Stegostoma tigrinum: one gene and its partners. The protein of the gene in region 2 purifies or fractionates together with the protein of the main gene of each other region. This does not show direct contact. Links are inferred from orthologs where the notes say so. Each region holds a gene or a part of one and is shown on either strand. Other genes may lie near its edges.

Region 1 (10,388 bases), on a different chromosome or scaffold from region 2:
TCTTGGCATAATTATTTACAGATCCCTAAAGTCAGCAAAGCACATGAATTAGATAGTTAGGCAGGCGCAAAATCAAAGTTGCTGGAAAAGCTCAGCAGGTCTGGCAGCATCTGAGAAGGAAAAAACAGTTAATGTTTCGGGTCTGGTAACCCTTCCTACAGCAGGCGTTTGGGACTCTTGGTTTCATCAGTCATGGCATAGAGTATGAGAGGAGGAGGTAATGTTGGAGTGTACATTACTACACTGGTCAGGCTACAAGTGGAGTACTGTGTGTAGCTCTGATTAACTCATTACTGGAAATATGTGATAGCACTAGAGGGGGTATAGGGGAGGTTCACCAAAATGTCGCTTGGGATGGAGAAACCGAGCTAGAAGGAGAGACCAGATAGGCTGGGATTGTTGTCTTCAGAGCAAAGAATACGGAGATATGGAGGGGCATGATTGCAAGTTATGGGCAGTTACAGACAGCAGCTGTTCCCCTAGGTTGAGGGGTCAATCATGAGGTGGCATAGTTTTCAGGTAAGGGGCAAGAAATTCAGAAGGAATTTGGTGAGAAAACATTTTCATTAAGTGGGTGGTGGGAATCTGGAATGCACTGCCTAGGAAAGTAGTGGAGGCTGGAAACCTTTAAAAAATATTTGGATGAGCACTTCAAATATCATTTGGATATCATAACATTTGGATATGGGACAAGTGCAGGAAATTGGGATTAGTGCACTTTCAGTGGTAATTATGTTGGTGCAGGCTCAATGGGCCAAAGGGCCTTTTCTGCGCTGTTTGTGTCTATGAATCTATGACAGACACTGACAGTTATTAAGACATAAAACTCTAATCCTGATTTTAAAAAAATTAATCTGTTAATCAGATAATAATGAACAGCAAGGGATGGTAGCAATGGAAGACACAGAGACTGAGTGCATTTTGATAGAACAGGAAACATTCACTACATTTGTTTAAACACTGCTTGCAACTAATTTTAGATACAGCCATACCTACAATCATCCATTTTTAAAATCCTTTCATCCAAAGTAAAAAAGAAACTGTTTTTTTGTCTGTACTTGGAACAGTCCTGCTAAAATGAATATTTAGAACGAAATTCCTTGGGAAGCACAGCCATCAAAAATGAAACTTGAACACCAATGTGAGATGGGGGCTGGGCCAGGGATCACATGATGCCAGGAAAGGGAGGGAAGAAATACAGGGCTTGATATAAACCAGGACAACACAGAGTAGCAACAGTCTGGGGAACATAAGGAGGATGAGGACGAGCAGACTCTTAGTGATGGTTCTACTTGCAATCATCTGGTTATGCCTGTGCCCCCAAGCTAAACTGCATCCTGATGCAATCCGACAGCGGCGAGGACTCGTCGACATGGCCATGACTCTGTGGTGTTACCGCTCCAAACTGGGAATCTCCCTCCTCAAGCTCCACAACTATGGCTGCTATTGTGGGACAGGGGGCTCAAGTAGGCCTGTTGACCCAGTGGACCGGTGCTGTTTTCTCCATGACTGCTGCTATTACCACACCAGAGTGATACTGGGCTGTCACAGCCAAGTTAAGTGGAGTATGTACAACTTCACATGCAAGAGGGCACAGACGGAGTGCAAGGGCCAGACTGTGTGCACCAGGATGTCATGTGAATGTGACAGGGCCTTTGCTGAGTGCTTGTCCCAGGCAAAACCCAGTGACATGCACTACTTCTACAAGACAAGATTCTGCAAGGAGAACAAATCCATCTGCCCTGACATTTTCCCCAACTCCTCCACCATCATGGACTGGATCAAACAAGGCAGTTAAACCCAGGCCATCTCTATCACAAAGAATTAGTGGCATTCTCCCATATACTCTGGCATTTTCTGGCCACATTGTGGAATTGGAAATCCAACTACCTAGTGTGAACCTGGACAGGATTGCTGCATCTGCCACAGGCAGGAGGCAACTTTGGCAGGGGGCTGAGTACACAGCTACACTACCCAAACTGGCATTCATGACTTTGAAAGAGAAACTGCCAGTTATTTGAAGGTACTGTTTTATACTAAGTACGGGTCTCACTCAAACATTATTGTGTCACTGTACCATTTTCAGCTTCTTCTGAATAAAAGTTACTTGAATGTGTTTCAAGTGTAACAGTGTTGTCCGGATGGCTCGGGTTATCAGCACTACTTGATGTCACATAGACTTGTACACAGCAGGTCACTGAGTCTGATTGCTCCTCTCAAACTCTGAATTGTATAGGTTTCTATGAAAACTCTCTTCCTCCTTCCAAACTCCAGTGAATCTACTCCTCAGTGATCCTATCTCTCTTGATACATTAGTCCTACCATCTCAGGAATCAGTCTGGTAAACCTGTTACACCTGCTCCCTCCAAAAAGGAGACCAAAATACTCCAGATGTCGTCACATCAAGTACCTGTACAATCATACAACACATCCTTAACCACGTACTCAAGTCATCTCGCTATGAAAGCCAACGTTCCATTTGCTTTCTTTAGCACCTGCTGCATTGGCATGTTTTCTTTCAGCAACTGGTATATAAGGACACCCAGGACTTATTGCACCTTCATCTTTCCCAATATATTGCCAGATAATAATCTGCTTTCCTGTTCCAGCTATCAAAGCAGATATCCTCACATTTAACCTCATCTGCAATGCAAATGCCCACTCAGTCAACTTGTCCATAACTGAAGTACTTTCCCATCCTCGTCAGAGTTCACCCTCCCATCCAGCTTTGGGTTATATGCAAATATTTATTACATTAGTTCCCTCACCTATTTATCATTAATACATATTGTGAATAGTTGATCCTTGCTGTACCCTGATAGTCACTAGCTGCCATTCAGAAACAGTTCCGTTTATTCCTATTTTGCTTCCTGTCTGCCGACCAGTTCTCTCTCCAGGTCACTACCCCCAATCCTATGAACTTTAATTTTACATGCTAACCTCTTATTTTGATACTTATTGAAAGCCTTCCAAGTGCTACAAATGTCAAATAGAATAAAACAGACATTCACTAGGCTTTTCAATAAACTCAAAAACAGAATTGTCTCCAATAATCATATTTGTCAAACAAGACAACAACAGTTCAATGTTTTCAATCTCACTATATCCCCTTAATCACTAAATATACATAAAATGTGATTGGAAGAACAGGGAAAACACTTTGGAGTAAAATGTGCCATCTTTCTCAAGAGTTCCTTCAGTTTCGTGTCAACGAGCTCACGTTGTTGTCAATCCCACAGTAATAGGAAATACCGAAAACAGATTTAGGTGAAAGTCAAGAGGTCTGATATTTGAAATTTTGTCAGGGGCTCACAAACTATTGTACTGAGAAAGATATCTAAAGTGATACGGTCAGATCCAAGCTGTGACTGTTGCATCTGACCAGGAACTGCTCATAGCTTCTAGGTGCGTATTGAAAATTCACCCAATTGGTCAGTCCTGAGGCTATTTGCAACCTAGATCCATAAGGGTTTTCCAGGTCTGTTTGCTCAACAATTAGAAGAATTTACCTCCACTCTCGTGTCTCTCGAAAAACTTTGATGCACAAAGCTCTCCAAAGTCACTTGTTGTATATTGTGAATAGTATATAGAACATTGTTTCCTTAAACTTCCCCTGTACTTTCCAGTTCAAACTATATAAGACCATAAGACATAGGAGAAGAAATTCGGCCATTCAACCCCTCGAGTCTGCACCGCCAATCAATCATGGCTGATGACATTGTACGATTGATCGTTTGCAAACCAACAACGTCAAACACACACATAGCCCACATGCCTGAGAAAACTCAGAGACTGTGCTCCCCACTGCCCCATAGCCAGAACACTCATCCACACCCACCATGGCCTCCACATCACGACCTCTCATACAATCCATTTCCACACAGCCGACACATTCCCCAGTCCTCTGCCCCCTCTATCACAGAGATACATTGCCCGAACCCCGACTTGTCTCTCTCACACACATACACTGACAAACCCCAGTCCCCACCTCTCACTCTCCCGCGCGCGCACACAGCACACCCTCCCCCAACCCGAACCCAAACCACACTTCCCCCTACTTCCATTCACAGACACAGGCATGCCCTGGTCCCCCGACATATATACACATACACACACGCGCGCGCGCGCGCTTCCTCAACCCCATCACCACTCGCCCCCATATCACTGACCCCCTACCATCACACTCCTTCTCTCCCGCTGTCCCTCACATACAGACACATTCCCTGGACTCTCTGACCTGAATCAGCAGCTTGACGTACATGAGCGGGTGGGAGAAGACCGTCAGCCCCGCGCCCAGATACAACTGACTCCTGGTATCCGCCATCATGGCTCAGAGCGCACGGCCGGAGCCGGAAATTCGTCAAACATGGAGGGATGTGGAAGAGAGCGAGGAGAGGGGGAAGGGGGAGAGGAAGGAGGAGGAGCGGGGGAGAGGAAGGAGGAGGAGCGGGGGAGAGGAGGAGCGGGGGGGAGGAGGAGCGGGGGGAGGAGGAGCGGGGGGGGAGGGGGGAGGAGGAGCGGGGGGGGGGAGGGGGGAGGAGGAGCGGGGGGGGGGAGGGGGGAGGAGGAGCGGGGGGGGGGAGGGGGGAGGAGGAGCGGGGGGGGGGGAGGGGGGAGGAGGAGCGGGGGGGGGGAGGGGGGAGGAGGAGCGGGGGGGGGGAGGGGGGAGGAGGAGCGGGGGGGGGGGAGGGGGGAGGAGGAGCGGGGGGGGGGAGGGGGGAGGAGGAGCGGGGGGGGGGAGGGGGGAGGAGGAGCGGGGGGGGAGGGGGGAGGAGGAGCGGGGGGGGAGGAGGAGCGGGGGGGGGGAGGAGGAGCGGGGGGGGGGAGGGGGGAGGAGGAGCGGGGGGGGAGGAGGAGCGGGGGGGGGGAGGGGGGAGGAGGAGCGGGGGGGGGGAGGGGGGAGGAGGAGCGGGGGGGGGGAGGGGGGAGGAGGAGCGGGGGGGGGGAGGGGGGAGGAGGAGCGGGGGGGGGAGGGGGGAGGAGGAGCGGGGGGGGGGGAGGGGGGAGGAGGAGCGGGGGGGGAGGGGGGAGGAGGAGCGGGGGGGGGAGGGGGGAGGAGGAGCGGGGGGGGGAGGGGGGAGGAGGAGCGGGGGGGGGAGGGGGGAGGAGGAGCGGGGGGGGAGGGGGGAGGAGGAGCGGGGGGGGAGGGGGGAGGAGGAGCGGGGGGGGAGGGGGGAGGAGGGAGGAGGAGGAGCGGGGGAGGAGGGAGGAGGAGGAGCGGGGGAGGAGGGAGGAGGAGGAGCGGGGGAGGAGGGGGGAGGAGGGAGGGGCGGGGGGGAGGAGGAGGGGCGGGGGAGGGGGGAGGAGGGGGGGAGGGGGGAGGAGGAGGGGCGGGGGGAGGAGGAGGGGCGGGGGGAGGAGGAGGGGCGGGGGGGAGGAGGAGGGGCGGGGGAGGGGGGAGGAGGAGGGGCGGGGGGGAGGAGGAGGGGCGGGGGGGAGGAGGGGGGAGGAGGAGGGGCGGGGGGGAGGAGGGGGGAGGGGCGGGGGGGAGGAGGGGGGAGGGGCGGGGGGGAGGAGGGGGGAGGGGCGGGGGGGAGGAGGGGGGAGGGGGAGGGGCGGGGGGGGGAGGGGGAGGGGCGGGAGGGGGAGGGGCGGGGGGGGGAGGGGGAGGGGCGGGGGGGAGGAGGGGGAGGGGCGGGGGGGGGAGGGGGAGGGGCGGGGGGGGGAGGGGGAGGGGCGGGGGGGGGAGGGGGAGGGGCGGGGGGGGAGGGGGAGGGGCGGGGGGGGAGGGGCGGGGGGGGAGGGGGAGGGGCGGGGGGGGGAGGGGGAGGGGCGGGGGGGAGGAGGGGGGAGGGGGAGGGGCGGGGGGGAGGAGGGGGGAGGGGCGGGGGGGAGGAGGGGGGAGGGGGAGGGGCGGGGGGGAGGAGGGGGGAGGGGGAGGGGGGGGGAGGAGGGGCGGGGGAGGAGGAGGGGGAGGGGGGAGGAGGAGGGGAGGGGGGGGAGGAGGAGGGGAGGGGGGGGGAGGAGGAGGGGAGGGGGGGGAGGAGGAGGGGAGGGGGGGGGAGGAGGAGGGGCGGGGGGGAGGGGGGAGGAGGAGGAGGGGCGGGGGGAGGGGGGGGAGGAGGAGGGGGGGGGAGGAGGGGCGGGGGAGGAGGAGGGGGAGGGGGGAGGAGGAGGGGAGGGGGGGGAGGAGGAGGGGAGGGGGGGGGAGGAGGAGGGGAGGGGGGGGGAGGAGGAGGGGCGGGGGGGAGGGGGGAGGAGGAGGAGGGGCGGGGGGAGGGGGGGGAGGAGGAGGAGGGGCGGAGGGGGGAGGAGGGGGGAGGAGGAGGGGCGGAGGGGGGAGGAGGGGGGAGGAGGAGGGGCGGAGGGGGGAGGAGGAGGGGCGGAGGGGGGAGGAGGGGGGAGGAGGAGGGGCGGGGGGGAGGGGGGGGGGAGGAGGAGGGGCGGGGGGGAGGGGGGGGGGAGGAGGAGGGGAGGGGGGGGGAGGAGGAGGGGCGGGGGGGGGGAGAGGAGGAGGGGCAGGGGGGGGGGAGAGGAGGAGGGGCGGGGGGGGGGGAGAGGAGGAGGGGCGGGGGGGGGGAGAGGAGGAGGGGGGGGGGAGAGGAGGAGGGGCGGGGGGGGGGGAGGAGGAGGGGCGGGGGGGGGAGGAGGAGGGGCGGGGGGGAGGAGGAGGGGCGGGGGGGAGGGGGGAGGAGGAGGGGCGGGGGGGGAGGAGGAGGGGCGGGGGGGAGGGGGGAGGAGGCGGGGGGGAGGGGGGAGGAGGAGGGGGGGAGGGGGGAGGAGGAGGGGCGGGGGGAGGGGGGAGGAGGAGGGGCGGGGGGGAGGAGGAGGAGGGGCGGGGGGGAGGGGGGAGGAGGGGGGGCGGGGGGGAGGAGGAGGGGCGGGGGGGAGGAGGAGGAGGGGCGGGGGCGGGAGGAGGAGGAGGGGCGGGGGGGAGGAGGAGGAGGGGGGGGAGGAGGAGGAGGGGCGGGGGGGAGGGGGGAGGAGGAGGGGCGGGGGGGAGGGGGGAGGAGGAGGGGCGGGGGGGAGGGGGGAGGAGGAGGAGGGGCGGGGGGGAGGGGGGAGGAGGAGGAGGGGCGGGGGGGAGGGGGGAGGAGGAGGAGGGGCGGGGGGGAGGGGGGAGGAGGAGGAGGGGCGGGGGGGAGGGGGGAGGAGGAGGGGCGGGGGGGAGGGGGGAGGAGGAGGGGGGAGGGGGAGGGGGGAGGAGGAGGGGGGAGGGGGAGGGGGGGGAGGGGGGGGAGGGGGAGGGGGGGGAGGGGGAGGGGGGGAGGAGGGGGGGGGGAGGGGGGGAGGAGGGGGGGGGGAGGGGGGGGGGAGAGGGGGAGGGGGGGAGGAGGAGGGGGGGGAGGGGGGAGGAGGAGGGGGGGGAGGAGGGGGGGGGGGAGAAGAGGATGGGGCAGAGCGGGGTAGAGGGGAGGGAGAGAGAAGGGAGAGGGGGAGGGGGGAGAGAGAAGGGAGAGGGGGAGTGGGGAGAGAGAGGGAGGTGGGGGAGAGGGGAGGCGGGAGGGAGGAGGGAGGGAGTGGGGAGGAGGGAGGGAGGGGAGAGGGGAGGAGGGAGGGAGGGGAGAGGGGAGGAGGGAGGGAGGGGAGAGGGGAGGAGGGAGGGAGGGGAGAGGGGAGGAGGGTGAGAGAGGGAGGAGGTGGAGAGAGGGAGGAGGGAGAGAGAGGGAGGGAGAGAGAGGGGGGGGGGAGGGAGAGAGAGGGGGGGGGAGGGAGAGAGAGGGGGGGAGGGGGGAGAGGGGGGGAGAGGGGGGGAGGGGGGAGGAGGAGGGGGGGGAGGAGGGGGGGGGGAGGAGGAGGGGGGGGAGGGGGGGGGAGGAGGAGGGGGGGGAGGGGGGGGGAGGAGGAGGCGGGGGAGGGGGGGGGAGGAGGAGGGGGGGGAGGAGGAGGGGGGGAGGAGGAGGGGGGGAGGAGGAGGGGGGGAGGAGGAGGGGGGGGGGAGGGGGGGAGGAGGAGGGGGGGGAGGGGGAGGAGGAGGGGGGGAGGGGGGGAGGAGGAGGGGGGGGGAGGGGGGGGAGGAGGAGGGGGGGGAGGAGGAGGGGGGGGAGGGGGGGGGAGGAGGAGGGGGGGGAGGGAGGAGGAGGGGGGGGAGGGGGGGGGAGGAGGAGGGGGGGGAGGGGGGGGAGGAGGAGGGGGGGGAGGGGGGGGGAGGAGGAGGGGGGGGAGGGGGGGGGAGGAGGAGGGGGGGAGGGGGGGGGAGGAGGAGGCGGGGGAGGGGGGGGGGAGGAGGAGGGGGGGGAGGAGGAGGGGGGGGAGGAGGAGAAGAGGATGGGGCAGAGCGGGGTAGAGGGGAGGGAGAGAGAAGGGAGAGGGGGAGGGGGGAGAGAGAAGGGAGAGGGGGAGTGGGGAGAGAGAGGGAGGTGGGGGAGAGGGGAGGCGGGAGGGAGGAGGGAGGGAGGGAGTGGGGAGGAGGGAGGGAGGGGAGAGGGGAGGAGGGAGGGAGGGGAGAGGGGAGGAGGGAGGGAGGGGAGGAGGGAGGGAGGGGAGAGGGGAGGAGGGAGGGAGGGGAGAGGGAGGAGGGTGAGAGAGGGAGGAGGTGGAGAGAGGGAGGAGGGAGAGAGAGGGAGGAGGGAGAGAGAGGGAGGGAGGGAGGTGAGAGGGAGAGAGAGGGAGGGAGGGAGGTGAGAGGGAGGACGGGGGAAAGAGGGAGGACGGGGGGGAGAGAGGGAGGACGGGGGGGAGAGAGGGAGGACGGGGGAGGGAGAGAGAGCGAGGAGGGGGGAGAGGAGGAGTGGGGGAGAGGAGGAGGGGAGGAGGAGGAGGGGGGAGAGAGGAGCGGGGAGAGGAGGGGGGAAGGGGGAGAGAGGAGGGGGGTGAGAGGAGGGGGGGAGAGGAGAGAGGAGTCGGGGAGAGGAGGAGGAGTGGGGGAGAGGGAGGGGGGAGAGGAGGAGGAGGGAGAGAGGAGCGGGGAGCGGGGGAGAGAGGAGGGGGGAAGTGGGGAGAGAGGAGGTGGGGGAGAGAGGAGGGGGGTGAGAGGAGGAGGGGAGAGAGGAGAGGAGGGGGGGAGGGGGAGAGGAGGGGGGAGAGGAGGGGGGAGAGGAGGGGGAGGGGGAGAGGAGGTGGGGAGGGGGAGAGGAGGTGGGGAGGGGGAGAGGAGGTGGGGAGGGGGAGAGGGAGGGGGGAGGGGGAGAGGGAGGGGGGAGGGGGAGAGGGAGGTGGGGGAGAGGAGAGGAGGTGGGGGAGAGGAGAGGAGGTGGGGGAGAGGAGAGGGGGAGGAGAGGGGGGGGAGAGGGAGGGGGGAGGGGGGTGAGGGAGGGGGGAGGGGGGAGCGGGATGGGGGGAGAGGGAGGGGGGAGGGGGATGGGGGGAGAGGGAGGGGGGGGGGGAGAGGGAGGGGGGAGGGGGATGGGGGGAGAGGGAGGGGGGAGGGGGATGGGGGAGAGGGAGGGGGGAGGGGGATGGGGGGAGAGGGAGGGGGGAGGGGGATGGGGGAGAGGGAGGGAGGGGGGGGGAGAGAGTGGGGAGAGAGAGGTGGGAGCGGGGGAGAGAGGTGGGAGGCGGGGAGAGAGACGGAGGGAGAGATGTCGGGGGGAGAGGGAGGTGGGGGAGAGGGGAGGAGGGAGAGGGTGTGGGAGGGGGGAGGGGGAGAGAGAGGAGGGGGGGAGAGAGAGGAGGGGGGCAGAGAGGTGGGGAGGCAGGGGAGAGAGATGGGGGAAAGAGGGGGGGAGGCGGGGGAGAGAGATGGGGGAGGTGGGGGAGAGAGATGGGAGGGGGGAGAGAGATGGGGGAGGAGGGAGAGAGAGATGGCGGGGGAGAGAGATGGGGGAGGGGGGAGAGAGAAGGCGGGGGAGAGAGAGGGGGGAGGGGCAGGGGCGGCGGGGCAGGGAGGGGGGAGGGGGAGAGAGAGGGGGGAGGGGGAGAGAGAGTGGGGAGGGGGAGAGAGAGCTTTGGGGAGGAGGGGGAGAGGGAGGGAGGGGAGAGAGGGGGGGGAGGGGGAGGGGGTGAGAGCGGGGGAGGGGAGGGAGGTGGGCGAGAGCGGGGGAGGGGAGGGAGGGGGAGAGAGGGGAGGTGGGGTGGAGTGGTTGTGCGTGTGGGGGGGAGGGTTTGTGTTTGTGTGGGGCAGGGGTCTGCGTGTGTTGGGTGGGAGGGGGGTGGAATGGTTGTGCGTGTGGGGAGGTGGAGTGGTTCTGTTTGTTTTGGGGGGAGGGGGTGTGTGTGTGTTGGTGGAGGAGGTTGTGTGTGTGTGGGGGGTAGGGGGTGTGCATGTGTTGGGGGAGGAGGGTGTATGTGGAGGGGAGGAGTTGTATGTGGAGGGGAGGGGTTGTGAGTGGCGGGGAGGGTGTGGGTGGGTGTCAAGGGGGGAGGGGTGAGTGTCTGGGGGGGAGGCTTTGTGTTGGGGGGAGGGTGTGTGTGTTGGGGGGAGGCTGTGTGTGTATGGGAGAGGGTGAGTATCTAGGGGGGAGGGGTGAGTGTCTAGGGGGGGAGGGGTGAGTGTCTAGGGGGGAGGG
Region 2 (10,697 bases):
CACCAAGGTCCCTCCGCTTCTGCAACCCCTTTAGAATTATACTCCTCAGCCATTTTATATTGTCTTTTGGTGTTCTTATCTCACTTCTCTGCGCTGAAACTCATCTGCTACCTTTCCATCCAGCCAACCAATTCGGCTATGTCATTTTGGAACTCACTCTACCTTCCCCAGTTTAACAAAACTTCTGAGTTCATGCATACTTTGAAATTACCCCCTGCACAAAGATCAAAATCATTTTTACTGTATACAGGAAAAATGACATCTCAACACTGACTCCTGGGAAACTCCACTACAAACTTTCCTCAACCTGGAAAACATTCACTGATGAAGACTCTCCTGCTCCTCTGATACTGCCTGGCCTGTTGTGTTCCTCCAGCTCCACACTGTTGTCTCTGACTCCAGCATGTGCAGATCTTGCTATCTCCCACAGATGACTACTGCTTAGTATTACACAGAAAATTCTGTAATCATACTACAATTTACTCTTCTATTCCATGAGATATAAGAAACCTTTCCTACAAGGGCATTTTACTGTACTATATCAAACACCTTCTGAAAGTCCGTATCCACCACAACAGCGTTACCCTCTTGGAGTCCGTCACCTCTTCAAAAAAACTCCAGCAAGTTAATTAAACATGATTACTCCTTTAGAAGTCCATGCTGACTCTGTCCAATCAACCCACCCTTTCCCTTTTGGCTACTTATTCTCTTCCAAATAATTGTCTCAAAGTTTCCCAATGCTGAAGTTAAACAGACTGGTCTGTAATTACTGCGCTTATTCTTACAACCTTTCTTGATCAAGGATGTAATATTTGCAATTTTTCAGTCTTGTGGTAGCTCTCCCAACTTTAGGGAAGACTGAACGATTATAGCCAGTGCCTCTGCAATTTCCACTCAAAGTCCTTGGATGCACCTCATCTGATCCCAGGACCGTGTCAACAACCTACCCAACAGTGACTTAAAACTTCTAAAGAAGATACATACCATACTCATAATGCTAACTTTATTTCTCTTCTCAAATGTTGCCAGACCAGAGATTTTCTAGCATTGTACTTGTTTCAGGTTTACAGCACCTGTGTATTTTGCTTTTAACACCGATTTAGATTTCATTTATTTAGCCCTTACATCACCTCTTAAATTGCTATTCTCTATGCTCATGAAAGTGCATCTCAAGTACTTTATGAATCCTGGTCTACCATTCTGTCTTGGTTCCCACACTGCTGCCAAGTTTAAAATTTGTTTAAGGTCCTGCCAACAGCACCAGCAAAATGCCCTGCAAGGAATTCAGTCCTAGGTCTGTTCAGCAGGCAACCAATCAATTGTACGTGTTGCAATTTTCCCCAAAGTCCAAAGACTGTTCACTAAGAATTCAAGAATACCTAAATTCTTTGCCATTGCTGAGGTTATTTCCAAAAATTAAACAATAAACATGGTCTCCGGTTATAACACCTCAAGATCTCTCCTACACAATCTTTATCCCTTGTCTGGATCAGACAGACAGATTATCCATATTTGCATGTGTTTGATGTCACTCTTTTTGCCTCAAGGTCAGTAGGAGTAAAATTCCTCTTTCAGGAAATTCTTAAAAGGGTCTTCTTCATTCTGGCCTAGTAACTGTGTTTAATCACGTGATAGCTGTGTGCCAAATGGAATGAAAATATTTTGTTATGATCGACTGAGACAGGGGTGATAAGAGGAAAGGCCTCACTTGGTCATGACAGGATTACTAATGTAGGATTCTGAATGCTGAGCCCAACGACACAACTACATTACTTAACCTAGTATTTGACTGAATACCAGGCGATATTTTGTAATAGATTTATATAAAACTTCATGTGATCATCTTCTTCCTCATGTTAGGAACTGCAAGGTGTGCATATTTTGTGCAGCTGCTGATAAAACAAATTGAGACTTGTCTGATAACACATCTTATTTCCGAATTTCATATAGAACCAATTACTTTAAATTGCAACAAAATATTTGACAGAGATATAAAATTAGATTCAGAGACAGCAATGACATTGAAGGCTGTTTGTAAAATTGTGTTTAGTCCTTGCCAGTCAAACAGAAGGAAATACAACAGGCCTTGAAACCGTACAGAGAAATACCACACAGTTGATTAAGTGTTGGAAGACTGAATTACAGGGGAAGAAATTGGGAAAAGTCTGCAGACTTCAAAAGGAATCAAGTGAGGTACACAAATTGAGATACACAATGGTGGAACAGAAAAATTGATGTGGACACTTTGATCCATCAGGCTGTGACAAGTCTTTGGACTAAGCAGAACATTAGAGGTGAGCAATTGTCAGAGACTGGGGGAGTTTTGCTGTGAGTGACACAAGGAAGGCAAGGGGATCAAAAAGACCAGAGCCTCTCCATTCCAATTCTCCAAAAGGTTTGAGATTCTTTCAGCCTGTATGGGTAGTACTGGGCCGCACGGTGGATGAACGAGTTGATCATGGCACAGGAAGCTGTCCAAATGGTGGAGTAAACAGGAATGCGGTGGTAGTAGGGGGCAGTGTAATCAGGGGAATAGACACAGTTCTCAGTAGTTAAGAGAACAAGTCCAGATGGTTGTTTTCTGCCCAGTAACAGAGTTTGTAAGGACGAGAGAAGGGGGAAGATTTCAATGACTGTAGACTGCATGAGTACTTACAACATAGCAGAAGGAGGAAAGGGGGTATAGGCAGCTACATACTAAATTAGAAAGCAGGACCCAGGTTGCAATGGCAGTTAAGGTCACAGATTACTAAAAGGGTGAAGAGAGACACTGGAAGAATGCTACTTGAATTCCTGTGGCATTTGTAACAAAATGGATAACTTGCTAGCACAAACAGAAATTAGTTTATATGACCCGATAGCCATTCAAGAGGCATGGGTGCAACGCAGGTACCCGAATATTGAAGCATATTTGACATTTCAGAAAGGTGGGAAAAGTATGCAATGGTATGCCGTCCTTAATCTTAAATCTGGGATAGATACATCTGTGTTAACCAAAAAGTATGAGTCAAAGGCAGGTATTTGGAGATAGACCAGATGTCAGCCATAATCTCACCGAATGGTGGAAGAGGCTTGAGGGGCTGAATGGAATATTGGAACAGGAGTGGGCAAAAAAAAGGTGATGGGGTTGCTCTGTTGAAGAAAAATGCCTATTAATAGAGTATTAAGAGATAGCCTTAGGCCATTCCTGTTTCTGCCTATGTGCACGTTGATACCAACGACAAAGATCTCCGACTGCTAACTCACTGTTGGTGCAGACTTAAAAAATCTCAGCACCGAACAGCCCTTTGCTCTATTAAATAATGCTGGGCCGGGAACGTTTACCTTCTCTATCAATGACTTTAATAAAGAGTCAGAACGTATGGTTTGGAAATTTGCTGATTACATTAAATCGAAAGGAAAGTAAGGTAGGAACACCATCAAGGGACACGAGCAGGCTAAGCGAAACAACAAAAATTTGGCACAAGGAGCGCAAGTGGCTATATGTGTACTTGTCCATTTTGGCGATACAATGGTGCCTCCCTGGCGCAACAACCGATGGCTGGGGAATCCCTCCATATGTTCATACCTCCATCTCCATCCAGTTTCCATCTAAGCAGCAGTGAAAATTACTAGTAAAGGGCTGTTCTGGAGGGAATAAAGCCTGGAACAGTGGTATGAGGTTTAACAAATCGTCCACCACCTCATCCAGGGTGACAAAGGGTGACCGTGCTAGCGTGCTGAGGACTGAGATATCAGCGGCAGCTGATGAGGCAAGGTGAAGCTCGGCTCTCCTCTTGCCCTGGGTGGTGGTGGAAGAGGAGCAAGACCGCGGTCCAGGAGAAAGCAGCCGGTTATCCGATCACTCCCGGCAGCACTGACGTGCCTCTCAGAAATCGGTCCGTAAAGCGGCCTCCACTGATTCCCAATGTCACACCCGTCCTTTAGCGGATACCTGAATTGAGCCGAGCCGGTGTGGGGCTGTGGGATGGGGGTCATGTCCAGGGCCAGGGTCGGGCTGCTCCTCCTCCATCCCCGCGAAAGCTCGCGCCGTTAACGGTCACAGCACGCGACCGCCTTCAGCCTAACGATCAACCTGAACAAGCCCCGGAAGCATTTCTTTGAAGCGACCACGATCCCGGAAACGAAAGCTCTGACTGAGGCTAAGGTATCACATGCCCGCACCGTCGAATAGGAAGAAATATCCGAGCCAACCACAGTCCTCCTGGTTCATACTAGCTACAAGATAATGATGCTCTCGGTGACTGATTTATGTTATCAGATATGGAAACACTTTGAACTGCACACGTTCGGACTACAGCCAAAATCAGGAAAACCATATCAAATAACGCAGTAAAGGTGCGAATAAGAAACATTTTTACAAAAATAAAGACTCCGCTTCATGCTTGTATCTCAGTTTTTATACACACTTCCTCGTTTGCCCTTAATCTAACGGCAGATAGGAAACGAATATGGCCGGAAGGCACCGTGACACTAGGTGATTGACAGCATTCACGATCAATAGACAATCCGTCTCACAGCAGCGAGCCGCTTGACCTGACGTCAGTGCACCAATCCGGTGAGACCAGGGGCAGGACCAACGTGGGAACGAGTCCGGTTGTCACGGAGGGGGGGAAAAACGCGAGTGGCGTGTAAACGGGCGGGGACGCGGCGGTCAGGGGCTTCCGGATTTAGAGTGAAAGCCTTACAGAGAATGCCCCGAGAGAGTGAGTAGGTACCATTCCTTTGGATAGACACCAGCTCCGCGGCTCCACAGGTAGGGGAGACGAGGATCCAACTTCACTTGGTTTACGGGGAGAGTCTACGGCAGGCGACAGGCCAGGTCTTGCCCACTCGCTTCATAGACGAACTCCACAGGCGCAATTGGAAAGAGGGTGAACAAAGCGCCTGAGAATGAGCGTGAGGCCTGAAGTGAACAAAGCTATTCGGTGTGGATGCTGAGTGTGTGTGTGTGTGTGTGTGTGTGTGTGTGTGTGTGTGTGTGTGTGTGTGTGTGAGTGAGACGATTGAGGGAGATTGCCTGAACAGAGGTATGGGAAGTGAGTGGGAGAGTTCATCTGGCTTTGATGTGAGTATGCGAATCTCTAAACTCTGGATTTCCGTTCCTCAACATTTCTTCCTCGTCGTCTCTAGCCGCTCTATAAACCGACTTCTTCAAGTCAAATCTCTGCTGTCAAATCTTGTTTGATAAAACTCCTGTGAAGTAAATTGAGATGATTTTTTGTCATACAAACGCAAATAATTGCCGTCCTGATGTCGGTAGGTTCTTGGGTTGTAGGAACAAATTACTGCAGATGCTGGAATCTGAACTGAAAACAAATGCTGGAGGTCACAGAGGATCAGACAGCATCCATGGAGAGAGAGCAAGCTAACATTTCTAGTCTAGACGACTTCTCATCAGAGCTGGTAGGAACTGCCGATGCTGGAGAATCTGAGATAACAATGTGTGGAGCTGGATGAACACAACAGGCCAAGCAGCATAAGAGGAGCAGGAAAGTTGACGTTTCGGGTCTGGACCCTTCTTCGTTCTCCAGACACGAAACGTCAGCTTTCCTGCTTGGCCTGCTGTATTCATCCAGCTCTACACCTTGTTATCCCTCTTCATCAGAGCTGTTCTGTTCCTAACTTCTGCGTGTGAATGTGAATACTTGATTGATTTGTGAGCTTCAAGAATTTACTATCCTCGGTCTGATTGTGTGTGAGACTCTTCCACCTATAACATAAAATAATATCGGAAATAAAACGTGCATAAACGAACGGCTGTGGACTTGAAATATTAATTCTACCTTATGCTTCTCGCAGATAATTCCTGACCTGCGTGTTTCCTGCATGTTTTGTTTTTACTTTATATTTTACTATTGGAGATAAATGGTGCTGCATTTGTAATTCGGAGGCCCTCTTGCCTTCGGTTGTTTCACTTTCTACTTTTGAAGATGGCATGATGTCAATAGCAAACGTCGTTACTTGTGTCAATTCTATTGTTCTGTCTTTTAGCAAAATTACAATAGAGTACTGGTCAAAAGTGTATTTGACTGACATCCACTATATTCAGGTGGCCCAGCAGAAAAGGATGTTGAGTCACTTATTCTAGAGCCATAGAGATCTGTAGCACATAAAAAGGCCCTTCTGCCCGTAACATCTAGACCCAACCATCTAACTATTCTTATCCCAGCACTTGATCCATTGCAAAAGCATACCTAAATGTTACGTGGATTTCTGTCTCTACCACCTTTCAAGCATTGAGTTTCAGATTTCTGCCATGCTCTTGGCAATAAAGATTTTCCTCATCCCCTTGTACCTTAAATCTGTGCCCTAGTTCATCAAGCAGAAAAAGTTTCTTCCTGCCTATGCTTATCTATGCCCCTGATAATTTTATACATTTCAATCACGTTCCCCCTTATCCAATCATGATGGTGTACTGGAGGCTATCTCTGACAATTCGGACTTCAGGGGCCAAAGATGCTGTGGGACATTGGTGGATTTATTATAGAATTTGCTAAACCATCTTTGCCGTTCATGATTTGAATTCCTATTATTTGTACTCTTCTGAAAGGAGCATGTTGGATTTGTATTTTGATTTAATGCCACTGAGACACCCTCAAAAATTCACGGTACATAGTTCTGATAAATCAGATATTTTTAAATTTAAAAATTTCAAACACCAAATAATTTGCACGAGCCAATGCAAATAAATTGGAAAAGTAGAAATTTTGTGCTAAAATATTTGAATGATCATCCTCTGAAGTAAGAGGTTTATTTGACAGTAGTGAATTTGACCTGTATTGGAATGGTTGGAAATAGCTCCTTTAATACAAACAAAGTCTTTGGGCCTAGGTTTACATTTCACGTTTTAACAGCTTCACTTCAAAGCTGCTCAATTGGCTGCAAGCTACTTTGGGAACTTTCTAGGATCATAAAAGGCACTAAAAATACATTTTTTTTGTTGTGTTTGATGTAAGAATCAAAATTTACACATTTTAAATATCTTGACCCATGTTATAGTTTACACTTGTCCAAGTCTCATGTGCATCTTGATGGGGCTTTCTACTGTGTTTCAGAGAAATATTGCATTCTGTTGAAAGCAATTCAAAGTTATTCAGAGATAGTAGGAACTGCAAATACTGGAGAATCTGAGATAACAAGGTGTAGAGCTGGATGAACACAGCAGGCCAAGCAGCATCAGAGGAGCAGGAAGGCTGATGTTTCGGGCCTGAAGGGTCTAGGCCTGAAACGTCAGCTTTCCTGCTCTTCTGATGCTGCTTGGCCTGCTGTGTTCATCCAGCTGTATACCGTGTTATCTCAAAATTATTCAGTTCCCTTACTGCTGAATATGTCTATTTTATACATTAGAGTGCAGCTTGTAGGACAGAGCAACTTGAATATGAAAACTTTTTACATATTACCATTAATGTAACTGCATTTTTACGTACACAAACGTATATACCATAGTGCAAGGATCAGAAGCAGGCTGCTCTGCCATTCATTAAGTTTTAACTGATGTTAAAATCCTCAACTCAACTTTCCTGCTTTATTTCCCCAAAATCCTTGATTCCCTTACTGATTAAAAAATTGTCTATCTCAGCCTTGAATATACTTAATGACATAGCTTCAACAGTCCTCTATGGTAAAAGGAAAATATACAAATTACTATTCTCTGATAGGAAAGAAATCCCCCTCAGCCCAATCTTACAAGGGTGATCCCATACTCAGAGATTATGCCCTCTGGTCCCAGATTTTTCCACAAGGGGAAACATGTTCTGCACTTAACCTGTCAAGTCCCCAAGACTTGAGTATGTTTCAATAAGGTTTCTTCCAAACTCAAATGAGTACAGGCCCAATGTATTCAAGCTCTTCTCAGAAGACAATTCTTCCAAGCATGGGTTCAGCTTAGTGAACCTTCTGTGGACTACCAGTACATTTTTCCTTGGATAAAGGGCCCAAAACGATTGGAAGTTCACCTTCAAAGTTTATATTTAACCTCTTTATTATCTTCTGGTTGTCTTTGGTTGGTTTTTAGAACTTTCCCAATCATCTGGCTTGCTGCTAACATTTGCCACATTGCAAGCTTTTTCTTTCAATTTGATGCTAGCCTTAACTTCCTTGGTTAACCATGGTTGGTTTCTCACCTTCTCATTACCTTTCTTTCTTTGTCTTTTCTGTGAGCCACTAAAATATTTTCTTAAACTTCTGCCATTGTTCGTCAACCATCTTTGTTGCTAAAATCCTTTTGAGTCGTCTCCAGCTAACCCAACCCTCCTAGCTTTGTAATTACCTTTATTGAAGTTAGCACAGTTGTTTCTTGTGCAAATTTCTTTCCCCCAAACTGAATGCTAAATTCTATTTTGTTATGGTCAGTTCTGAGAAAGGGTCTCTTGACTTGAAACGTTAGTTCTGATTTCTCCACAGATGCTGCTAGATTTGCTGAGACTTTTCCAGCAGTTTCTATTTTTGTTTGATTTGCTGTTTTTTTTCAGTTTTTGTTATGGTCAGTGTTCTCTAGGTGGTCTTTTACTCTATTGTTATTTATTAAACTCGCTTCATTACACATCAACAGATCCAAAGTAAGCCTGATAACTGGTTAAATCCACAGCATATTGTTCTTGGAAACTGACCCAAATTGTCTATTAATTCTTCCTTGTGTCTACATCTGCAGATCAAGTTACCCCAATCTACATGAAGATGAAAGTCACACATGAATAATGCTCTACCTTTTTACATGCCTTCATTATCTCCTGATTTATTCTAATTCTGACCAAATTGTTTCTGTTAAGACACCCATAGGCTATACCTATCATTGTCACCATCCCCTTGTTACTTCTTACTTCGACCCATATGGATTCTGCATGTTTTGATATTTTCTGGCTATAGTACTTAGTTCATCCCTTGTTAACAATACTACCCACCACCCTTTCCTTTCGGTCTGTTCTTTCAAAATACCACATGTCCTAATATTTAAGATAATAAAATGTGAGGCTGGATGAACACAGCAGGCCAAGCAGCATCTCAGGAGCACAAAAGCTGACGTTTCAGGCCTAGATCCTTCATCTGGGTCTAGGCCTGAAACATCAGCTTTTGTGCTCCTGAGATGCTACTTGGCCTGCTGTGTTCATCCAGCCTCACATTTTATTATCTTGGATTCTTCAGCATCTACAGTTCCCACTATCTCTGTCGTAATATTTAGCTCCGTTTAGATCTCCTTGAAACCATATATCTGTATTGACTATAAGACCATACTCATGTACTTATATTTGTGTCATTAGTTTATTTTGTTAGTAAAGAGGTATTCGTTTTGTCTTTGCAGCAGATCCACCGCCCCCAACCCCGAACTATCATTTTTCTATGTTGTGCACTTTATGCCTTCCTTTCTCACTCTGGGAATAGTTATTCGAAGAGCTGACCGGTAATGTCACTATATCCTCACTTTGTTTCCCCTCTCCTAAGTCTTCCTTCTCTCCTATTTCGTTTAAAGACCTCTCTACCACCCTAGTTATTTTATTTGTCAGAACACTCATTCCAGGTACTGCTTGATGTCATCACTGGTAGAAGATGCAAAGGATTTCATGACTGTGTTAGACACAGGCTTAGTGCTTGACCCATTTGTGGTGAAACTTGAGAATGTGGACCTTAAGTAACTTAGAATGTGTAAGATTCTTAGGGTGCTTGATTTGGGAAGAGTTTTTAACCCTTGTGAAAGAACCTAGGACCAAACGATGTAGTCTCAGTAAGGGATCATCTATTAAAGACCGAGATGAGGAGGAATTTTTTTTTCTAAATCTGCAGTAAATCTATGGACTTGTTGACTGTCGAGAGCTGTGAAGCTAGGTTATTAAGTATATTCAAAACTATGAGAGATAAATTTTTAATTGGTAAGATAACCAATTGTTGGGCTAAGGCAGGAAAGTGAAGTTGAGGATTATCAGATCAGCCTGTGAATGGTGGAACAGACTCTGAATGGAATGGCTGACTTTTGCTCCTACATTTTAACATCTAATGCTGTTGGAAGCATGACAGCAAATACAGTTTCAAATTGTAATAGTTTGAAGTCACACCATGCTAGAGCAGTAACTGTAAATTAATATCTCACTGTTACTTGGAAATCTCAGGATTTAATGTTCTGAACCCACACAGAAGTTGCAACATGGAAGCCTACTATATTCAATGTGTACTTGTTTCAACCACTTTTGATGTTTGTTTACTTTCCACACGAATCAATAGTTTCAATTTCATTTACCTGATTTGTTTCCATATCTCTTAGTCTCCCTTTCCTTCATTTATTTGGCTAATTTTGAATGCAGCCATAGTTTTGCCTCAATCAGGAACCGTGGAAGTGAATTTCACAGCGTTGCATCTCTCTGCATGAGCAGCGTTACTTGCAGTCTATTATAAATCATCTTGTTTTTGATTCTTCAATTATTAGACATAAAATCAACTTCTATGAAAACTGTTGTATCATTTCAAAATTACTATGTATTTTACGTCTAACATTTCCTGAATTGCTACTTGATTTCTTCTGATTTCTTGATTTCTCTGAAGGCTCTGATTTAAGTGGAGACTTTGAGGGCTCTTGGCAGAGAAACTGGACCCATGTATATGTGCAAGATTTTGTTGATCAGCTTTTCATTGTCAGCTTTAGGTTGCAATAGGGTAATTGTAATTATCCTAAAACATAATACAATCATAAGAGTCTGTACAGTTTA
Region 3 (9,813 bases), on a different chromosome or scaffold from region 2:
GTAAGACGTTCTCTACGTTGACTGACCCCATCGGAAAAAAAACACAATGTGACCATTATTCAAGGAGAGTAAGGGATACACCCGGAAACTACAGACCAGTCAATCAAATCTTGGCTATGGGGAAATTTTGGAAGCAATTCAGAGGGACAGAATTAATCTGCATTTGGAGGCACCAACATTAAACAACATTAGAATGGTTTTGTTAGGGAGTGGTCATTTCTGACCAACTGGATTGATTTTTCCACCCAGGTGACCAGACAGTAATATATCTGATGTAGTCTCCTTGGAGATCAGCAAGGCTTTTCAGAAGGACCACATGGGAGATTGACACCAAAATACTGAGTCTGTGGGATGGAAGGAAATTTGACTAATTGGATTCAGAATTGGCTGGATGGCAGGAAGCAGGGGTGATGGTTGAGTGCTGTTTATCTGACACGGATAGTGTGACCAGTGGAATTCTGCAAGGACCAGTATTGAGACTAACTGTTTCCAACATTAATGGAGAGACAAAGTGAATGCACTATAGCCAAATTGGCAGATGACAGAAAAAGGTGGAAAGGCAGGTTGAGAGGGGACACAAACAGTTTCCAGAGGTATTGATAGGGAATGGATAAAGGAAGTGGGTAATGGCGTTTAATGTGGGAAAATTGAAGCTGTTCATTTTGGATGGCAGAACAAAAGAATGAGTATTATTGAAATGAGAAAAACACAGGAAGCTGCAACACAAGGGGACTCAGGGGAACTTGTGAATGAAACACAAAGCTAGCACACAGGTACAGCAGGTAATCAGGAAGGGTAATGGAATGTTAGCCCCTTATTTGAAAGAGGTTGGAGTATAAGAGCACAGACATCTTACTGCAACTGTACAAGGTGCTGGGGAGAGCACATCCAGAGCACAGTGAGTTTTGGGTTCCTTTCATTCAGGAAAGGTAACATTTCATTAGATGCTGTTCACAGAAGGTTTGCTGGATGATCCCTGAGATGGAGGGATTGCCTTAAGAGCAAAGGTTAAACAGGTTAGGACTCTGCTCACTGGGGTTTAGAAGAATGGGAGGTCATCTCAATGAAACAGATCAGATTCTAAAGGGGCTTGACAGTAAATGCGGAGAGGATGTTTCCCTCATGGGAGGGTCTAGGACCAGAAGGCACAGTCTTAGGATAAAGGGCTGCTAATTGAAGACTGAGATGAGGAGGACTTCCCTTTGAGGATTGATGGCCATTGAAATCCCTTGTCACAGCTGAGGGGGCAGATTCCTTGTGTATATTTAAGGCTGAGATCAACAAATTCTTCAGTCAGGGAAATCCAGGATTGTGGAGATAGGGTAGGATAGTATATTAAAGAATGTTGGATCAGCCATGATCACATTGATAGGCAGAGCACAGAGCAGTCTCAATGCTGAGCACCCTACTCCTGTCGCTACGTAAGAAATATGGGTGTTCTTTCTGGCTGGACATCTATGTCCAGTGGAATTTCACAGGGGTCAGTTATTTGCAGCCTGTATTTAAACAGGAATGTAGGACGTTTGATCAGTGTGTTGTGTTTGCAAATGAAAATTCTGTTCCAAAGGGTCACTGGGCCCACAATGTTAACTCCGCTTTCTCTCCACAGATGCAGCCAGACCTGGGATTTTCCACCATTTTCTGTTTTCATTTCTGATTTACAGCAAGTGTAGTTCCTTCGGTTTGAAGTGATATTTGATCTGTATAAAATGTTGGTCAGGCCACAGCTCAAGTATGGTGTGCAGTTCTGGAATCCACATTACTGGAGGGATGCAATAGCACTGAAGATGGTACGAGGAAGTTTACCAGGACATTATCTTGGGGGGCTGCACAGTTCCATAGAAATATAGAACATAGGAACAGTATAGGCCATTTGGCCCTTTGAGTCTGCTCCACCATTCAGGTAGAAAAGACAGATTGGGCAGACTGGTGTTAGGGGAGATGTATAAAACTGAGGGACACAGGCAAGAACAAACACATCCCCCTTGGTGGAAGGATAAACCAAAACCTTCCCTGGTCATTTAAGTGTTAAGGGGCAGGAGGTTTAAAGCAGATACATGAGTGGCAGGAATCCTGAACTCACTGGCTGTAAAATGTGTGGACAGGCAGAAACCCTCTATATCTAAGAGGGATTTAGATGTGCATTTGCAATGCGAAGCCATACAAGGCTATGGGAGAGGTCCTGGAAAATGGGATTAGAATAGCAGGGAGGTTGTTTTTGACTGGCATCGGCACATTAGCCAGCTCTACTCTTTTGTAGAGAAAGTAAGGTCACTCTACACTAACCCCAAACACTCCCAGGACAGGGACAGCACAGGGTTAAATACAGTAAACTCCCACCACACTGCCCTATCACACACAGCACCTCCAGCTCAGTCAGGCAGTGTGTAAATTAAGTGGAAAGACATTGGTATCTTCCCAGTTTGGGAGGGGTCCAGGAATCACCCCCACCCCCACCCAAAGTTGTCCAGTGCCCCACCTAGGGGTTGGGTGGATTGATTTGTCAAACTCTTTCCTAATTCCAGCCTTAGCCTGTCTGATCCAGCCATGATTCAACAGGCACGATGGCTTAATTCTGCTCCTGTATCTTATGACCCCAATGGTTCCAGTCACTTTCTTGTCCCAGGTCAAGACTCAGAACCAGTCCTGAAATTCTGATTTCAGACCTGAACAGCTTTCTTGAAGATATGGTCCTCAATCCACCCTGAACAGCCTCAGGCTTAAACTTTAACTTCCCCCAAACCCAAGCAAATCATTTCTGAAGGGTCTCTACCAAAAACATCACCTTTCCTGCTCCTCTGATGCTGCCCGGGCCAGTTGTGTTCCTCCAGCTCCACACTGTAATCCCTGACTCCAACATCAGCAGTTCTTACTATCTCCTGCAAATCATTTTTCCCTACCAATCAGAATGAAACATTTTTCAAGTGACCCCTGGAATTCCAATTAATGCACCGCCTCTGCACTCTCCCCATATCCCCATCAGTCAATGTGTCCTTTGTGACTATTTCTCCAAGGTTCCTGTTGAACCTGCTTCCAACCCCTTTCAGGCAGCACATTCCAGATCACAGCCACTTGCATGGTTAAAAATTCTCCCCGTCTGCCCCCACCCAGGGCTCTTTTTGCTGTTTTTCTTTAAAAAGTCTCCCTCTGGAGACTGACCATTCCAACAGGAGGCAGCTTGTTTCAATTGATCCAGAGAGAAAACCCTCTCCATGTTGAGCACTTCCATTCAATCTGCTGTTAGCCTTCTGATGGACACAGTCCCACAGACTCTGCACAATTACTGCAGATCCTCAGCCCCAGTCCCTTTATCGTAAACCCCCTCCAAGGCCACGATAATCTTTCCAAGGCCGGGGGGGGGGGGGGGGTGAGTGAGTAGAAACAGTCAGAACCAAACAATTCTCAATCCATAGCCTAACCCAGTGATTTATAAAATTTCACCAACTGTTTAGTGCTTCTTTGACTACAGCCAAGGGTACAACGTGGTTTTTGAACTGCCTTCAAAATGTGCCACTTTATCAAAGCGACGTGGACACAGCACTGCCAGATTGGCCTGCAGCTTTACCCCATTCACAGCCATTTGCCAGGTCTGCAATCAGCCATGTTTCTCTGGAATCTGCTCAGAGCATTTCCATGTCAGAGGGGGCATGGATCATGCAGCATATTCCAGTTGACAGCCCCCAGTCTGTGTTCAGACAACGAGGAGGTCTAAGCCACCAATCCCTGACATTTCACACCAAACTTCTGTTTTCACATTTGTATAAAATTGAGAGAAACATGCATCTCCCACACCCTTCTCCCCATTTCCCCCCTCCCCCCCAACAGCAGGTGAGCAAGGGGCTAGGGAGGAGAAAAATATGGGGGGGGGGTGGGTGGAGGAAAGGAGAACAAAGTGAATGGAAACTGGTGTTTGCTGAGAGGGGGTGGGCACCTGGGCTAGTGCTGACCACAGCTGGTGGATTTTCAAAGAGCCAGATTGAAGGGTACTGCAGTGTGGGAGTGTAAAAGTCACCCAGACAGCACTTTAAGCCCAGAATAACCTGGAACCTGTGGAAGTGACTTACAGAATAAGCCAGGGGAAGTAGCAGAAGCAGGTACAGTTACCACAGTTAAAAGATATTTGAACAGGTGCATGGATAGGAAAGGTTTAGATGGATATGTGCCAAACACAGGCAAATGGGACTGATTTAATTTGGGAACCCTGGTCAGCCTGGACCAAAGCGTATGCTTCCATCAATGACTGTATGACTGCAACATTCAGCCCCTGAGTGCATTCGGCTTGTGATAAAAGGCAGCTATTTTGAGGGCACGTGACTTTTAGCAATTTTGTTTATTTTTAAAAATTAAATAAAATTAAGTTCACCAAAGGGTAAGACTGCTTTCAATAGAAGAGCCACTATTTCTCAGAACCTTACAGAAGGGAACTCACTCTTTACCAGCTCTGTTACACTCACTCTCTCACTGTCGAGGGCTACACCATCTTAAAACAGGCTTCGTTTCACTGAATACAAACCCCTGGTTAACAGACAGTACAGCTCCCTCTCTCTCTCTCCCCCCCCCTCCCTACCTGCTGATTTTAGTCATAAAACCCGGATATATTTAAGAGAGGCTGTGCTTTTGTTTAGACAGTACTCGATTACATTGCAGCTCAAAGCGAAAGTGACACCTTGCGTGCGTGTGGAAGCATTACCCACCTGAATGAAGCTGTGTTGAGGCTGATAACATGGTGCAAAGATGGGACTGAGATGATTTGAACACAAAGTCAATAGGTCGTTAGATTTCAGAAGCAATCCACAAAACACTTGAAGGTGAGCCTAAAAAATCTCATGGAAGCTGGAGGCTGGGCGGAGAGAGGAGGCTCAGCACAGCAGGAGGGGCACTGGGGGGCTGCGGAGCCGAAACGGAGCAAGGGCTGAAGCCGTCTATAACCCCCTTCTCCATCAGACGCTGTATGCAGGGGAACCGGCTCCTTGCCAGTCCTTACATAGAGACAGCGTCAGGTCAGGGCCAACCTACTGCCGCCCCATTGGCTGCTCTCAGCCTGGGTCCAGCCCCCCCGGTTGGGCGTCAGCGCATGGACCAGGCGCAGCCAGGCGCCACCTCAACGCAGTGGTCAAACCACAGTGAGAGCCGGAGACCCTGGACGCACTAAGGGTCTCAGTAAGCACCCCACTACAAGCCCCTGGTTTAACCAAACCTCTCCAGCCCGATTCTAAATCTCCATATTTGGAAATGTTGGTGATGTCTGATTCTGATCCAGAAACACGCACCGCCACAGAACGTGACAAATTTCATTGAATGGGAGGAGGCCATTCGGCTCACAGGGACTGTACAAGAATCTTAGAATCCCCACAGTGTGGAAAGAGACCGTTCGGCCCGTCGAGTCCACAACGACCCTCCGAAGAGTATCCCACCCAGACCCTGGACCCTGGACCCAAAGCTTTTGTGCTCCTGAGATGCTGCTTGGCCTGCTGTGTTCATCCAGCCCCACACTTTGTTATCCCAGACCCTGTAACCCTGCATTTCCCGCGGTCAATCCATTCTAACATGCAAATCTTTATACTAGCCCTGGGCAAGAGCTTTCCCATTATTCTGTCTCCATCTCACCTTCCCTCCCTCCACCCCAACCTGTTCCCGGTAAAACTGTTCCCATCAGATGTTCATCCTCTCCCCCTTTGACAATGAACATCATACCTGCTCGCAGTGTCCCTTCAGGCAGTACATTCCGCTGTTTCACAAAACAGGAACAGGCCATTCAGCCCAACACGTTGCTCCTGGTGTTTGTACACTACATAGACTCCTCTCCCTCTGTCCCCTAATATTCCTTTCTCTATCTTTTTTTCAGATCCGCTTTAAGCAGCTGTTCCTAGAACCAGATGTGGTCTCTAGGAATTAAAGATTAATCATCGGAATGTTGCTGGGAATAAAACAGCTGGGGAGCCATATCAGGATAATAGATAATATTAAAAACAGAGAAGGTAATCTGAATTGATAGTTTGTCATTTCTGTATTAAGAAGGGAGAGATATGGACTCACAGATGTATACAGCACAAGAGACCATTCAGTCCGTCCGGTCTGACTATACTATTTTCATCCTTCAGCTCTTGTTTGATAGCTCTCGAGTCTATGAAAATGCAAGTCAATATCTAAATACTGCTAAATTTTCTGAGAGTTTATAACTCATTCACCTTTACAGACAGTGAGGTTTAGACTCCATCACCCTTTGGGTGAAAAAAAATTCATCAACTTCCCTCTTATCCTTTGACCTTTTGTCCTTAAATCTATACCCTCTATTTCCTGACAAAGTGCCTTCCTATCCACCCTGTCCATGTCCCTCATAATCTCGTACACCTCTATCAAATCCCCTCTCAACCCTCCCTGTTCTGAGGAAAACAGTCCTAGTCTATTCAGCCTTTCCTCATCCCTCAGTCCCTGAATCCCAGGCCACATCCTGGTGAATCTCTTCTGCAGTTGCTGCAGTGCAATCCCATCCTTCAGATAGTGTGGTGACCAGAGCTGCACATTGCACTCCAGCTGGAGCCTCACCAGTGTTTTATACAGTCCCACTGTTTACACAGGGCCTCACTAAAGCACGTTTGGACACATTAGATGTATCACCCTCATTAACCCTCCTGTTTACCTCCTCAACAAATACGTCAAACACGGCCTTCTCATAATGACCCCACGCTGACCCTCCCTGATTAATCCAGCTCTCTCCAAATGTTCAATTCTGTCTGATAACTTCCCCATCACTTCCCCAGAATGAATGGTCTGGGATTTCCTGGACTACCCCTTCCTCCCCTGTTTAATGATGGGACAATGCTGTACCCTCCCTGCCTTTCCCACTGAAACTATCCCAATTGCTATCGGAGAGTTGGATCCCTTTCTATTACTGCCTTGTTACTCTGACATGTCTCTGAAATGTGGTTATAAATGTATCCAGTATCTCTCCCTGACTGGGGTGGGGGTGGGGGGGGGGCGGCTGCTGTAGTACACACCCAACAGCATGTTTGCCCCTTTGTGGCTTCACTTCTACCCATAAGGCCCTGCCCAATGATCTGTGCAAAATGCCCTCCCTCCTCACACCTAGCATTGATCCTCGATCAATATTACAGCACCTCTCCATCTTCTAATCTCCTCTGTACCACACCTGAATACCCAGGAGTACCAGGAAGGTACAGCTGCCAGTCCTGCCTATCTTTCTGCCAAGTATTATAACCCACATACCTGTCTGTGCCCTCAGCTCATTGTCTTATTCCTCAGGCTCCTTGTATTAAAATATATTCCATGTATCCTTGTTAAATTCACTTCTTTATCTACATCTACTACCTTCCAGACTCACTTATTTGTGTTTTAACTTTGAACTCCATCTCAGCCTCGCTGCCTCTGAGTTATTCCTCAGGATTCCATGCCCTTGCCAATCCAGCTTAAACAGCCCCAGCAACATTTTCCAACCATTCCACAAGGGTGTTAGTCATGTTCTTGTTCACACGTAACTTGTACAATTCCCTCCTCCCCCAGAAACAGTCGGAATGCCCCAGGAATCTAAAGTGCTCTGTCCTGCACCAGCCATCCATTCACCTCCTCTGTTGTCCCATTCCTACATTCGCTGCTATATGGTACTGAGAGTAATCCAGACTGTTACCTCACAAATCCTGCATTTCGATTTCCAACTAACTCCCAAAAGGCTGATTCCAGCACCTCATTTCTCTGTCACTGGAACTATCGTCTCTGGCAGGTCATCCTCGCCTGTCAGACAGCTCTGCAGACAAACTGTGTGGCCTCCTTAACCCTGGTGCCCAGGAGGCTTACTGTCCTGGAGTCATGATTACTGCTGCTAAACTACCCCCCTCACACCCGCACCCTCACCCAGGCAGCTGGAGCACCTGCAGTGCTGAGGACTCTGCTCCAAGCATGACTCCAGAGGGACCTGGACCTTCTCCCTCTGCTCTCTGAGGTTGAAATACAATCCCTCAGGCGATTGTCTCATTTTGTGCCTCGTGCACTCTTCTGCCTGGCATTGCCCCTCTACCCGCATGTCCTTAAGCTCGAGGGTGACTCCATCCTGAAACCCTCGGCCTGGTCAATGCCCTGAAGTTCCCACAATAACTGCTCCCACTCTATAACCCGGGGTTGGAGGGCCGGGGCCGGGGGGGAGTTATTCCAGCCACAGGCATCTCCTGCACAGACTCATCCAGACCAAGGGGTCCTTGGTGCACACTGTGCAAATCACAGGCCTGAGCTCCCCAGGCAGGCCCTAACTGAATAGAAATGGATCACTGCGTCTTCTTTACCCGTATTACCACAAAAATATTATTCTTGCTCCTGTCAGAGTCACAGAGTCCCCGACAGATCGGCTGCCAGTCTCGCTGCCTCTGTATGAGGGTCCTCATCACACCCCCTCCCGTCAGGACGCTGTCACAGGGTCCCCCCCCCCTCCCCTCAGGACACTGTCACAGGGTCCCCCCCCCCTCAGGACACAGGGTCCCCACCCCCTCCCCTCAGGACACTGTCACAGGGTCCCCACCCCCTCCCGTCAGGACACTGTCATGGGGTCCCCACCCCCCGCCTCAGGACACAGGGTCCCTACCTCCTCCCCTCAGGACACAGGGTCCCCACCACCCCCCCCCCCCCTCAGGACACAGGTTCCCCACCCCCTCCCGTCAAGACACTGTCACAGGTTCCCCACCCCCCCCCGCCCCTCAGGACACAGGGTCCCCACCGCCTCCCCTCAGGACACTGTCACAGGGTCCCCACCCCCTCCCCTCAGCGACACTGACTGTCACAGGGTCCCCATCCCCTCCCCTCACTCACACTGTCACAGGGTCCCCAACCCCTCCCCTCAGCGACACTGACTGTCACAGGGTCCCCACCCCTCCCCTCAGCGACACTGTCACAGGGTCCCCACCCCCTCCCCTCAGCGACATTGACTGTCACAGGGTCCCCACCCCCTCCCCTCAGCGACACTGACTGTCACAGGGCCCCCATTCCCCCCCTCAGCGACACTGACTGTCACAGGGTCCCCACCCCCTCCCCTCAGCGACACTGACTGTCACAGGGCCCCCATTCCCCCCCTCAGCGACACTGACTGTCACACGGTCCCCACCCCCTCCCCTCAGCGACACTGACTGTCACACGGTCCCCATCCCCTCCCCTCAATGACACTGACTGTCGCAGGGTCCCCACCCCCTCCCCTCAGCGACACTGTCACAGGGTCCCCACCCCCTCCCCCCAGCGACACTGACTGTCTGAGTGCCTTCACCTGCTCCTGTCTCATTGTTTTATGTGTGTTGGTCTCCACAGCTTGCTCCTGGGAGTCTGGAGGCCTGTTTGCTCCTGTGTAACGAGGTTGGACGTTCTCTGCAGTGAAGAGATGAGGCTTGCCATTCCCAGCAAACACAGTAATGTGGTTGACTCTGAACTGCCCTCTGGGCAATTAGGGATGGGTAATAAATGCTGCCTGGCCAGTGACGCCCTCATCCTCTGAATGAATTTAAAAAAAGGAAAATAAAATCTGTGTATTAAGACAAAGCAAAATGCAAAACATCTGTTGTTTTGTGATAGGGATCCACGGATACAGAACAATTTGCGTAATAGTGGAACAGGTACATAGCAGACACCATTCCCCTATCCCTGGACTCATCCCTGGAACATCTGGATAATAAAGATACCTATGTAGGGCTTCAAATCTTGCCGACAGCTCTGCCTTAATCCCGACCAAACTAATCTCCAAACTCTAAGACCTTCTGCAACTGGATCCTCAGCTTCCTGATCCCACAGACCACAATCGGTAAGGATAAGTAACAGCGCTTC

Evidence for each region.
Region 1: the proteins of ociad1 (region 2) and mtch2 purify together in Homo sapiens (affinity purification with mass spectrometry; 3 studies listed by BioGRID and IntAct, with this or other methods). This does not show direct contact. The link is inferred for Stegostoma tigrinum from reciprocal best matches to the Homo sapiens genes OCIAD1 and MTCH2.
Region 3: the proteins of ociad1 (region 2) and sodium- and chloride-dependent creatine transporter 1-like purify together in Homo sapiens (co-immunoprecipitation; 3 studies listed by BioGRID and IntAct, with this or other methods). This does not show direct contact. The link is inferred for Stegostoma tigrinum from reciprocal best matches to the Homo sapiens genes OCIAD1 and SLC6A8.

Annotation. Positions count from the first base shown.
Region 1 is NC_081370.1:11,614,240-11,624,627, forward strand, and holds the start of mtch2 (mitochondrial carrier homolog 2), read right to left. Parts: upstream 4,434-10,388; 5' UTR 4,328-4,433; coding exon 4,238-4,327; intron 1-4,237. UniProt on the Homo sapiens protein: Protein insertase that mediates insertion of transmembrane proteins into the mitochondrial outer membrane. Catalyzes insertion of proteins with alpha-helical transmembrane regions, such as signal-anchored, tail-anchored and multi-pass membrane proteins.
Region 2 is NC_081354.1:106,038,256-106,048,952, reverse strand, and holds the start of ociad1 (OCIA domain-containing protein 1), read right to left. Parts: upstream 4,422-10,697; 5' UTR 4,013-4,421; coding exon 3,935-4,012; intron 3,926-3,934; exon of another isoform or gene 3,581-3,925; coding exon of another isoform or gene 3,569-3,580; intron 1-3,568. UniProt on the Homo sapiens protein: Maintains stem cell potency. Increases STAT3 phosphorylation and controls ERK phosphorylation. May act as a scaffold, increasing STAT3 recruitment onto endosomes. Involved in integrin-mediated cancer cell adhesion and colony formation in ovarian cancer.
Region 3 is NC_081364.1:1,690,805-1,700,617, forward strand, and holds the start of sodium- and chloride-dependent creatine transporter 1-like, read right to left. Parts: upstream 4,966-9,813; 5' UTR 4,726-4,965; coding exon 4,695-4,725; exon of another isoform or gene 4,615-4,694; intron 1-4,614. UniProt on the Homo sapiens protein: Creatine:sodium symporter which mediates the uptake of creatine. Plays an important role in supplying creatine to the brain via the blood-brain barrier.